Canis lupus familiaris: one gene and its partner. The protein of the gene in region 1 interacts with the protein of each later gene in a pairwise test. Links are inferred from orthologs where the notes say so. Each region holds a gene or a part of one and is shown on either strand. Other genes may lie near its edges. The genes, in order: ERICH2 and MACROH2A1.

The links.
Region 2: the proteins of ERICH2 (region 1) and MACROH2A1 interact in binary tests that used the Homo sapiens proteins (3 or more experiments, as listed by UniProt). The two-hybrid records come from large-scale screens. The link is inferred for Canis lupus familiaris from reciprocal best matches to the Homo sapiens genes ERICH2 and MACROH2A1.

What each region holds. Positions count from the first base shown.
Region 1 is NC_049257.1:15,608,256-15,612,852, reverse strand, and holds the start of ERICH2 (glutamate-rich protein 2), read right to left. Parts: upstream 2,840-4,597; 5' UTR 2,700-2,839; intron 1-2,699.
Region 2 is NC_049232.1:23,466,028-23,470,257, forward strand, and holds the start of MACROH2A1 (core histone macro-H2A.1), read right to left. Parts: upstream 3,008-4,230; 5' UTR 2,991-3,007; intron 2,980-2,990; exon of another isoform or gene 2,962-2,979; intron 2,927-2,961; exon of another isoform or gene 2,838-2,926; intron 2,399-2,837; exon of another isoform or gene 2,198-2,398; intron 1-2,197. UniProt on the Homo sapiens protein: Variant histone H2A which replaces conventional H2A in a subset of nucleosomes where it represses transcription. Nucleosomes wrap and compact DNA into chromatin, limiting DNA accessibility to the cellular machineries which require DNA as a template.

The DNA of each region.
Region 1 (4,597 bases):
GAAGCAGGCTCTATGCAAGGGAGCCCGACGTGGGACTCGATCCCGGGTCTCCAGGATCAGGCCCTGGGCTGAAGGTGGCACTAAACCGCTAAGTCACCCCGGCTGCCCCAAAAGAAAGTATTAAACTAGATCTTTGCTATCCAATATGGTAGCCACTAGACACATGTAGCTGTTGAACACCTGAAATGTGACTGGTTCCATTTAAGACATGCACACCAGATTATAATGACTTAGTACTAAAAAAAGAACATAAAACATCCATTCCCTTATTCTTCTAGGTAAATATTCACTAACCAGCCAATAGGGCCAGATAGTTTTTATTTGGATTCTATAGGTCTTAAAAAACCTTCCATAAAATGAGTTACCAGCATTCAAAATTCAGATTTCACAAAATTCTCATTTTGGGTTTCTCTTGTAATATTGGAAGATGTATACATTTTCTACCACCCCATCTGTGCAATTATTTTATCCTTTCGGGCTGTCTTTATAAGCCACCTAGTATTTTAATAGGCAAAGAATGAATTAGTTACATGCTCAAGCCCTGCAACAGTGACGAGAAGACAGAGCTAATTAAGCACCATCCTCCATCCCAGGGGAGCCTGGTGTGGGCACAAGAGGATTTGGGGGCAATCTTCATTGCATAGTCTCAAATGTGTATAAAAATGGTTTCAATGATCATCTATCATTTACATTCATATTTTAAAAAGACCACATATAGGGGTGCCTGGGTGGCTCAGATGGTTAGGTGACTGCCTTCAGCTCAGGTGGTGATCTCCAAGTCCTGGGATAGAGCCCTGTGCTGGGCTCCCAGCTCAGCGGGGGAGTCTGCTGCTCCCTCTGCCTCTCCCCCTGCCTGTGCTTGCTGTCTCTCTCTCTCTCTCTCTTTCTCTCTCTCTCATGAATAAAATATCTTTTAAAAAAAGTGACTACATACAAATTTTATATATTTCCTTACAGCATAATGTCGAGCTAGGAGCCCGGACTGCTGAATCAGATTGTCTATGTTCAAATCTCAGCAAATTGTTAGTGAATTCAAGCCAGGTACCTTAACCTCTGATTCAATTTCTTCAACTATAAAATGAGGACAAAAATACGACCTACCTCATAGAGTTATTGTGAAGATTAATATAAATAGCCAATAATAAATAATAGCACCTATCTCCTACTACAATTATAATTGCTACAACTCCTCCTCCTCCTATTACCTACCACCAAGCAAGAACACTGCTGAAGGTGAACTCTAAGAAAAGCCAGTTCTGAGTGCACACCTGAGATTGAATGGAGCCATGAAGGGGGGGTGGGGGACACTGAACATTTAGCTCACCTGAGATTGGATGGAGCTGGGGCGGGGGACACACTGAACATTTAGCTCAAATGGTGGTGGTGAGAGGTGGTCACAGGAAGCTCTAGAATTCTGGAGTAGTGCAATGGGATCCCTAAAGGTGTTGGAATTCACCTCTGGAAAAAATCTTAACTTTGTTTTCCTGAGATTAAAAATAAATTAGGTGGATTTGGGGATCACTGCATTTGGTTTTTAGGAGAATGAAACAAAAGACATTTTCAATGTCTTTTTCAGATTTATTTTTAAAAAGCCACATCCAGCGGATCCCTGGGTGGCTCAGTGGTTTAGCGCCTGCCTTCTGCCTGGGGTGTGATCCCAGAGTCCCGGGACTGAATCCCACACTGGGCTCCCTGCATGGAGCCTGCTTCTTCCTCCTCCTCTCTCTGTCTCTGTGTCTCTCATGAATAAATAAATAAAATCTTAAAAAAAAAAAAAAGCCACACCCAGGGGGTCTCTTGGGGGTAAGCACATATCGGTCCAATTCACCTAATGCCCTCTGGAAAATCAAATGATAAATTTATAATCATGCCCTGTGTTAAGTGCCACAGCTGCGCAGTGCAGAATAGTTTGAGTAATCAAAGGCCATATATCTTGATTTTGGAAATCTCAAGTCAATTTTGTCACCTCACACAAGGCTGAAGACTGGACCTTAGAAGTGATCCACTGTTGGCCCCTGGTTTTACATAAGATGAAAAGGAGGCCAGGGGAGGCTCAATGATTTGTCCCAATTCCACAAGAATTCTTTATGGTCAAGTTATGTCTAGCAAGTAATGACAATATTAAGTACAGTCAGTGAACGCTGGCTCCTACTGGTCATTAAGCTGTTTCCCAAAAAAGAAGAAAAAAACAGATAAAAGAAAAAAAAGTTTGCGTGTGTGTGTGTGTGTGTGTTAAAGGAGGTAGGTGTAGGAGGCAAGGATGGAGAGAAGTAGCTGGAAGCTCTGAGATGCAACAAAGCTAATTTCACTGTTTTGGGGGGGGAGCGTGAGGCACTTGGCGCAGGCGAAAGGGCAAGCCAGAGAATGTGGTGTAGACCGGCTGTCAACTGCCCAGCCGGGGCGCCCGGGCGGCTCAGTGGCTGAGCGTCTGCCTTCCGCTCAGGTCGTGATCCCGGGGTCACGGGATCGAGTCCCGCATCGGGCTCCCCGCAGGGAGCCTGCTTCTCCCTCAGCCTGGGTCTCTCAAGAATAAATAAAATCTTAAAAAAAAAAAAAAGAAAAGAAAACAAAGCCACCCCAGAACTGCTCAGTTACCACACCCCCGCGTAGACACAGACGCTATATCCCCTCCCGAGGGCCCGCCCACAGCCAGAGGAGGCAGCCACGCTGGAGGCGCACCCCCGCCGCGCGGGTCCTACCTTTCCGCGCGCCGCTCGGGCAGCCGCGGAGCTCCGGGGCCCGCACCTGGAGGGCGCGGACAGGTGTGCGAGTTCACGGCGCGGGGCCGGGTCTGCACGCGAGGGTGGGGAGAGGCGACCCGCAGCCGCCGCGGGGCCTCTCAGACCGCTGGGCCGCAGGGCGCACACTCGCGCGGGGTTCCGGGAGGGGCGCCCTGGACGCAGCGTCGCCACGGAGACGGGCCGGCGGGCGGCGGGCGGCGGGAGCCGGGGCAGCAGCGGGGGGCCGAGGCGGAGCGCGGAGGGCGGAGGCGGGGCGAGCTGCGAGAGCCGCTGAGGGGCGGGGAGGAGGCGGGACGCGCCGGGGCAGCGGGGGCGGGCGCCGGGCGCGGGGAAGCGGCCGCGCGGAGCCTCCCGTGGGCGGTGAGGAAAGCCTGAGGAGGCGGGGCAAGTTCCGGGCCCGGCGGAGGGGGCGGGGCCGGGGGCGGGGCCGGGGGCGGAGCAGGCCTGGGGAGCCCGGAGGGGGCGGGGCGGGGGCGGAGCAGGCCCGGGGAGCCACGGCAGGGGCGGGGGTGGTGGGCGTGGCGGGGGCGTGGCAGGCCCGGCGAGCCCTGGAGGGGGGCGGGGCGAGAGGCCGGGGCTCGGGGGCGCCGGCAGTTCCGCGGCGCCGCACGTCGGGGGCGCGCGCGCGCGTTCCTCGGCGAAGGGAAGGCAGGAGGGCGCCCGGGACGCCGTCGTCCGTTCCGGATCCTGCTCTGGGGGGCACCGGGGACAGGGCGGGGTGGCCTCGCTCCTGTTTTAAGCTTGTGGAGTGAAAGGAGTCTCGAGTTGGGAGACAGAAGCTTATCTCTGGATGCGGATAAACAAACGTCGCCTGCGGCACTTGATCCCCAACTTGAGGTCGCCCCGAGAAAATCACGATTTCCCCAGAAATCGAGTTTAATATCCCAAGTCCTGGGATATGAAACGGACCTCGGCCAGTGGGAGGTTTTGGTCACAAAAGGGGGTGAGGGAACGCTTCTCTTAGAAAATTCTAATTGTACCGCAAGCTTGGCTTCCAGGAAGGAATTTGTTGCTTTTCTCCGCTTGGGATCAGGAAGTGTCCGATGGGCTTGTTGCTAGGCAACAGGTCCTGAAGGATGCCTGTTTGTGGGAATCCAATCTGGAATCGAATTTCACTAAGTAGCCACATGATATGAGGTATAATCGCTGTATAACCTCTGGGGTTAGGTACCTTCTTGGGAATATGTACTTTGGTAGATGATTGCTTCAAACAACAACATATAAAACAAAACATCTGGCGTTTAAAAGATGTTTCAGGGCAGCCCGGGTGGCCCAGCGGTTAGCGCCGCCTTCAGCCCAGGGCGTGACCTTGGAGACCGAGGATTGAGCCCCACGTCGGGCTCCCTGTGTGGAGCCTGTTTCTCCCTCTGCCTGTGTCTCTGCCTCCCTCTTTCTCTCTGTGTCTCTCATGAATAAATAAATATAATCTTTGAAAAAAATTTTTAAAAAGTGCTTCAGAAATGGTAGATTTTTATCATCCTCATCAAAATAGAACCACTAGGACCATTTCAGGAACCAAGGGTACATAGAGATTCAGTTATATTTATCTTAATCATCTGTCCATGTTCACTCAATCTCCTTGGATTCCTGGATGGAGGGAAGGAGGCAAAAAAGAAAAAAAAAAAAAAGCCAGAATGGAAGTTTTTTTTAAAGAACTCAATGAGTTATTGACAAATACCCAGTTTGATAAGGACAGAGAAAATCACTATCTTCACTATTAGAGGAGTGCCGTTACATAGCTGGTGTTTTAAGTTTGAAGACTTTTCATTCAATCAAGACAAAGGGAAATTCATTATATTTTTCTATCAATACCTTTAAAAATTAGTTTTGATGAATTGCTTAGTATTGATAGATGA
Region 2 (4,230 bases), on another chromosome or scaffold:
GAACTGATTCTCAGGAATTATTTATTGAATGACTAGAAGACACCAATCTGGCAGGCTTGATCCAAGCAAACAAGCTATACAATTCTTTGGGACCCACTTGGGCTCACTCAAAAGAGCTGGGATGGCCCCCAATGTACTTCTAAAACTGTAGAATGTGGGGAGGACCTACCTACAGGGCAGGTGTGGGGTCCCCCTTGCCCCTGCTCCTTCCCAGCCTATATGCCAAGAATGGGGCTCTGAAAAACCTAACACAAATCCAAAGGCATAATCCAACAAAAAGTAGAAGCTGCTGTAATTCTGATCAACAGCACATATAATAGGTTCTTACTGTGGTTTTGCTAGCTTGGGGTTTGCACTTTTATTTAAATAAATCACCCTTAGATGACTGGGGGCAGCATTAGCTCTGAAGGTATTAGAGGCAGGTCCCAGAATACACGTATTCCAAGACTTTCTATTGGAAAAAGGAAAAGGGCTGTTGGAGTTCTGCTGTCGCAGAACTAGAAGAACTAGAAAAAATGGCAGAATGAGATGGACACTTCCTGTGCCTGGCCCCTTTGGTACAGACCACACCAGTGACTTAGGGCTGTGTGTTATAGTCTTACAAGTGATGTCCCAGACCACTCCTCATTCTAAAGGCCCTACCTCAAATAATTTTCACTTAAATTCTTCCGTCCTTCCTAATGCCTTTATCTAGTGATCAAGCATTAACAACGGTGACAGGTTAAAACAAAATTACAGAATGAAGAGATTTCCCACTCTCCTAAAACTAGAACAGCGGAAGAATTTTTAAGATTGAGGGTTTTTGGTTAGGGTGTTTTTTTTCTTTCTTAGGAAAAAAAAAATAAGGTTTGAAAACGTATTTATCCCCACTGGAGAGGCTCTTGTGCAAGACTGGAATGACACTGCCCAACTTTGTTCAGTTGTGTGTGTACAAGAGGTATAAATTCCAGCTGCAAGCGTGAGGTGGCCATTTCAGAGCCAGTAACTCCTCTGAAGGCAGAATGATACACTAAAGGTGGCCCGCAGTAGGTAGAGTCCACCTGACTTACAACTAGAGTCTCCCATTCAAACCTAAACCTGCCTGAAATTCCCCCAGTCCAACGAGAAGGGAGCCTGGGACAAAGTACTTCTGCCCTTCTTTAAGGCAAAACCTCAAACCGCAAAGGTGGAAGAAAAGGAGAAGTTAGCAGGAATGCCCCTCTAATTGTCTACTTTTATATGCTGTTTATTGGATCATTAAAACCTCACAAGGATTTCACGGCGATTGCAGTTGTTGGATTCAAAGTTTGTCTCAGCTGTTTGTACAGACGTTTCTCGCTTTCGAACTCAAACAATACTCCGCCTAACCTCTCGTCTGAAACAACCTTCCGATCAACTGACCGGATCCTGGAGGGATCCGCGGTTCCCGCAGGAGCGGAGGCGGGGCGCGCCACCCCACACACCTGTTGTCAGGTGACACCGCCGGCAGCATCCAGCGCGCTCACCTCCCCGCTCCGCTCCACCCCACCCCCCGCGAGGCCCTTCTCTGCAGGCCTTCTCCACCCAGGGCGCCTACAGCCTTCCCGAGTTACCTTAAAAAAAAAAAAAAAAAAAAAAAAACTCCCAGCCACAAAGCAAACAAAAGGCCGAGCAGAAGATGAACGAGGGCAACGGGGGTTCCCGCGTGCCCCCTCCCGGGCCCGCCGGGCTCCAAGCCCACGAGTGCCCCCAGCCGCCGACCCTCCCCTCTCCGCGGAGCCAGACGCCGCCGCCGCCGCCGCCGCCGCCACCTGGCTCTCGGGCCGACTCATTGTGCGGGGGCCTCACCAGCCGCCACACGGCGCGCCCCGCGGCCCCGGGCCTGCCCGGGGGGCCTCCGGCTCGGCCCGCGCCCCGGGAAGGCCGCCTTCCCACAAAAGCGCCCAGGCGCCGGCCGGAGGACGCGGTTTGGAGAGAAGTTGGCTTCCGGGTTTGCTGTTTGAACAAAACCAGAGAGAATCCCGCGCGGCCGGCCCGGGGCCTGGGAGGGCGCCGAGCGCGCGCGGGAGGCCCCGCGTGGGCCACACGCCGAGCGCGGCCCCCCCGAGCCCCGCCGAGCGCCGCCCGCGCGCGCCAGGCCCCGGCCGCCCCCGGGGAGCCCCGCGGCCGGAAGAGCGCGGCCCCCGGACCCGGACGGCGGGGACCCGGCGCGCCGCGAGGGCGCCCGCGCGGCACTTACGGGGCGGCTCGGCGGCTCGGCGGCGGCGGCAGCAGCTAGGTGTCCGGCCCGGGTGCCCTCTCGGCCGCTCGCGCCTTTTCTCTCCGCGCTCGTCGCTGGCCCGCCCGCCCGCCTCCTCGCTTCCCGCCCGCGCGCCGCGCGCCTGCCCCCTCCGCCCGGCTCCGCCGCCGAGTGAACTGGAACCAGTCGCCGCGGCCCCGGGATTCCCACAATGCACAGCGCGCCGCTCGTCACATCCCATGCCGGCCCCGCGCGTCCGGCCGCCCCCGCCCCGCCCCCGCCGCCCCCCCGCGCCGCCCCCCCGCGCCGCCCGGGCGCCCCGGCCTTGACCCCAGCCGCGCGGCTGCGCGCGCCCCTCCGCGCCCGGCCCTGCCCTGCCCTGCCCTGCCCGCGGGCACCCCCGCCTCCCGGCTGGACGCCGCACGCGCGCCGTCGGGCCCGAGCCCCCCGCCCCCCCCCCCCCCCCCCCCCCGCCCCGGCGCTCCGGGGGGCTCAGGTCCCGGGGCCGCGGCTCTGCTCGCGCGCCTCCCCGCCTGCGTCCCCGGCGACCCTTCGTGAGCGCCTGCGGGGTGCCTGGCACGGAGCGCGGGGCTGCAGAGCCGGACGCCGCCCTCGAGGCGAGAGCCCCGAGCGCCCCTACCTCCGAGCAGAGCGCGCCCAGCTGCGCGTCGCCTTTCTCAGACACCCGGGCCGCCCCGGCCGCCCCGCTCCTGCTCCCTGACCCCCCCCCCCCCGCTCCCTTAGTGGCCCGCGTACGCCCGGACCTGCTTTGTCCGTGGAAGCCGTCACCTACTTTGACTTCGCCAACGTTCACGGTTGGACCCAAGTTGCGATTTGCGAACATCAAAAGTGATTATCACACACAGTTTTTTTCTTTCTTTTTGTTTTGTTTTTAAACCGCAGACAAGCAGAAAGAGAAGGAGCCACTACAAAGCCCGTCTCTATATTCCTAAATTGATCTTTTTGCCCCAAAGCGTTAGTGCCCCATCCAGGGTACCTAGATAGGGGCCTTCTCTCAACGGCCTTCCCTTTCCTGGCCAAATTGCCAACAGGGAGGCTATCTCAGCACCCAGGTGTGGACCAGATTTAAATAAAGATACACGCCCCCCACCCCCCACCCCCCACCCACCCCGGAAGAATTGTGAAGCTTCCTGTGCCTTGCTGGAGGCGGTGCGGCGAGATTATGGAAGTAATCAAACCCGCTCCCAGCTCTCAGGCTGCCCCTCAGCAGCGGGGGTAGGTAACCTCCTCCCCTCCCCACGCTACTTTAACACTTCAAAAGTTTGCAAAGCAGGGATCCCTGGGCAGCTAAGTCAATGAAGCCTCCAACTCCTGATTTGGGCTCAGGTCATAATTTCAGGATGGTGAGATCCAGCGGGGCTTCCTGGTCTCTGCGCTGGGCATGGAGCCTGTTTAGGAGTCTCTCCCTCTACCTCTGCCACCCACTCCGGCTCTTGCACTCAGACTCTCTCTCTTTATCTTAAAACAAAAATTGAGATATAAACTGACATATAACAATGGGTAAATTTAAGGAATGGGTTGACTTTTAAGATTTTACTTACTTATTCATGAGAGACACAGAGAAAGAGGCAGAGACATGGGCAGAGGGAGAAGCAGGCTCCCTTTGGAGCCAGATGGAGGACTAGATCCTAAGACCCCAGGATCACGCCCTGAGCCCGAGGCAGACCCTCAACCGCTGAGCCACCCAGGTGTCCCTAATTACTTCTTTTTGTAGTAAGAACACTTTGACTATTCCTTGACCACCTCAGAGACACTTCTGTCTAAGGGACTTTGCATTTGCTGTTCCTCATCTTGGAACACTCCCCTCCTCCCCCCTGGCCTCATCCACATGACTTGCTCCTTCAATTCCTTCATGTCTTTATTTAAATCTCACCTTCTCAGGGAGGCCTTCTCTAAAATTTGAAACCTCACCCCGTCTTACACTGTCCCCCTCCCCTGCCTTATTCTTCTCCACAGTATTATACTTCTATACGTCAGATAAGACGTGTCAACTCTTAGGCTCTTTATTTCTC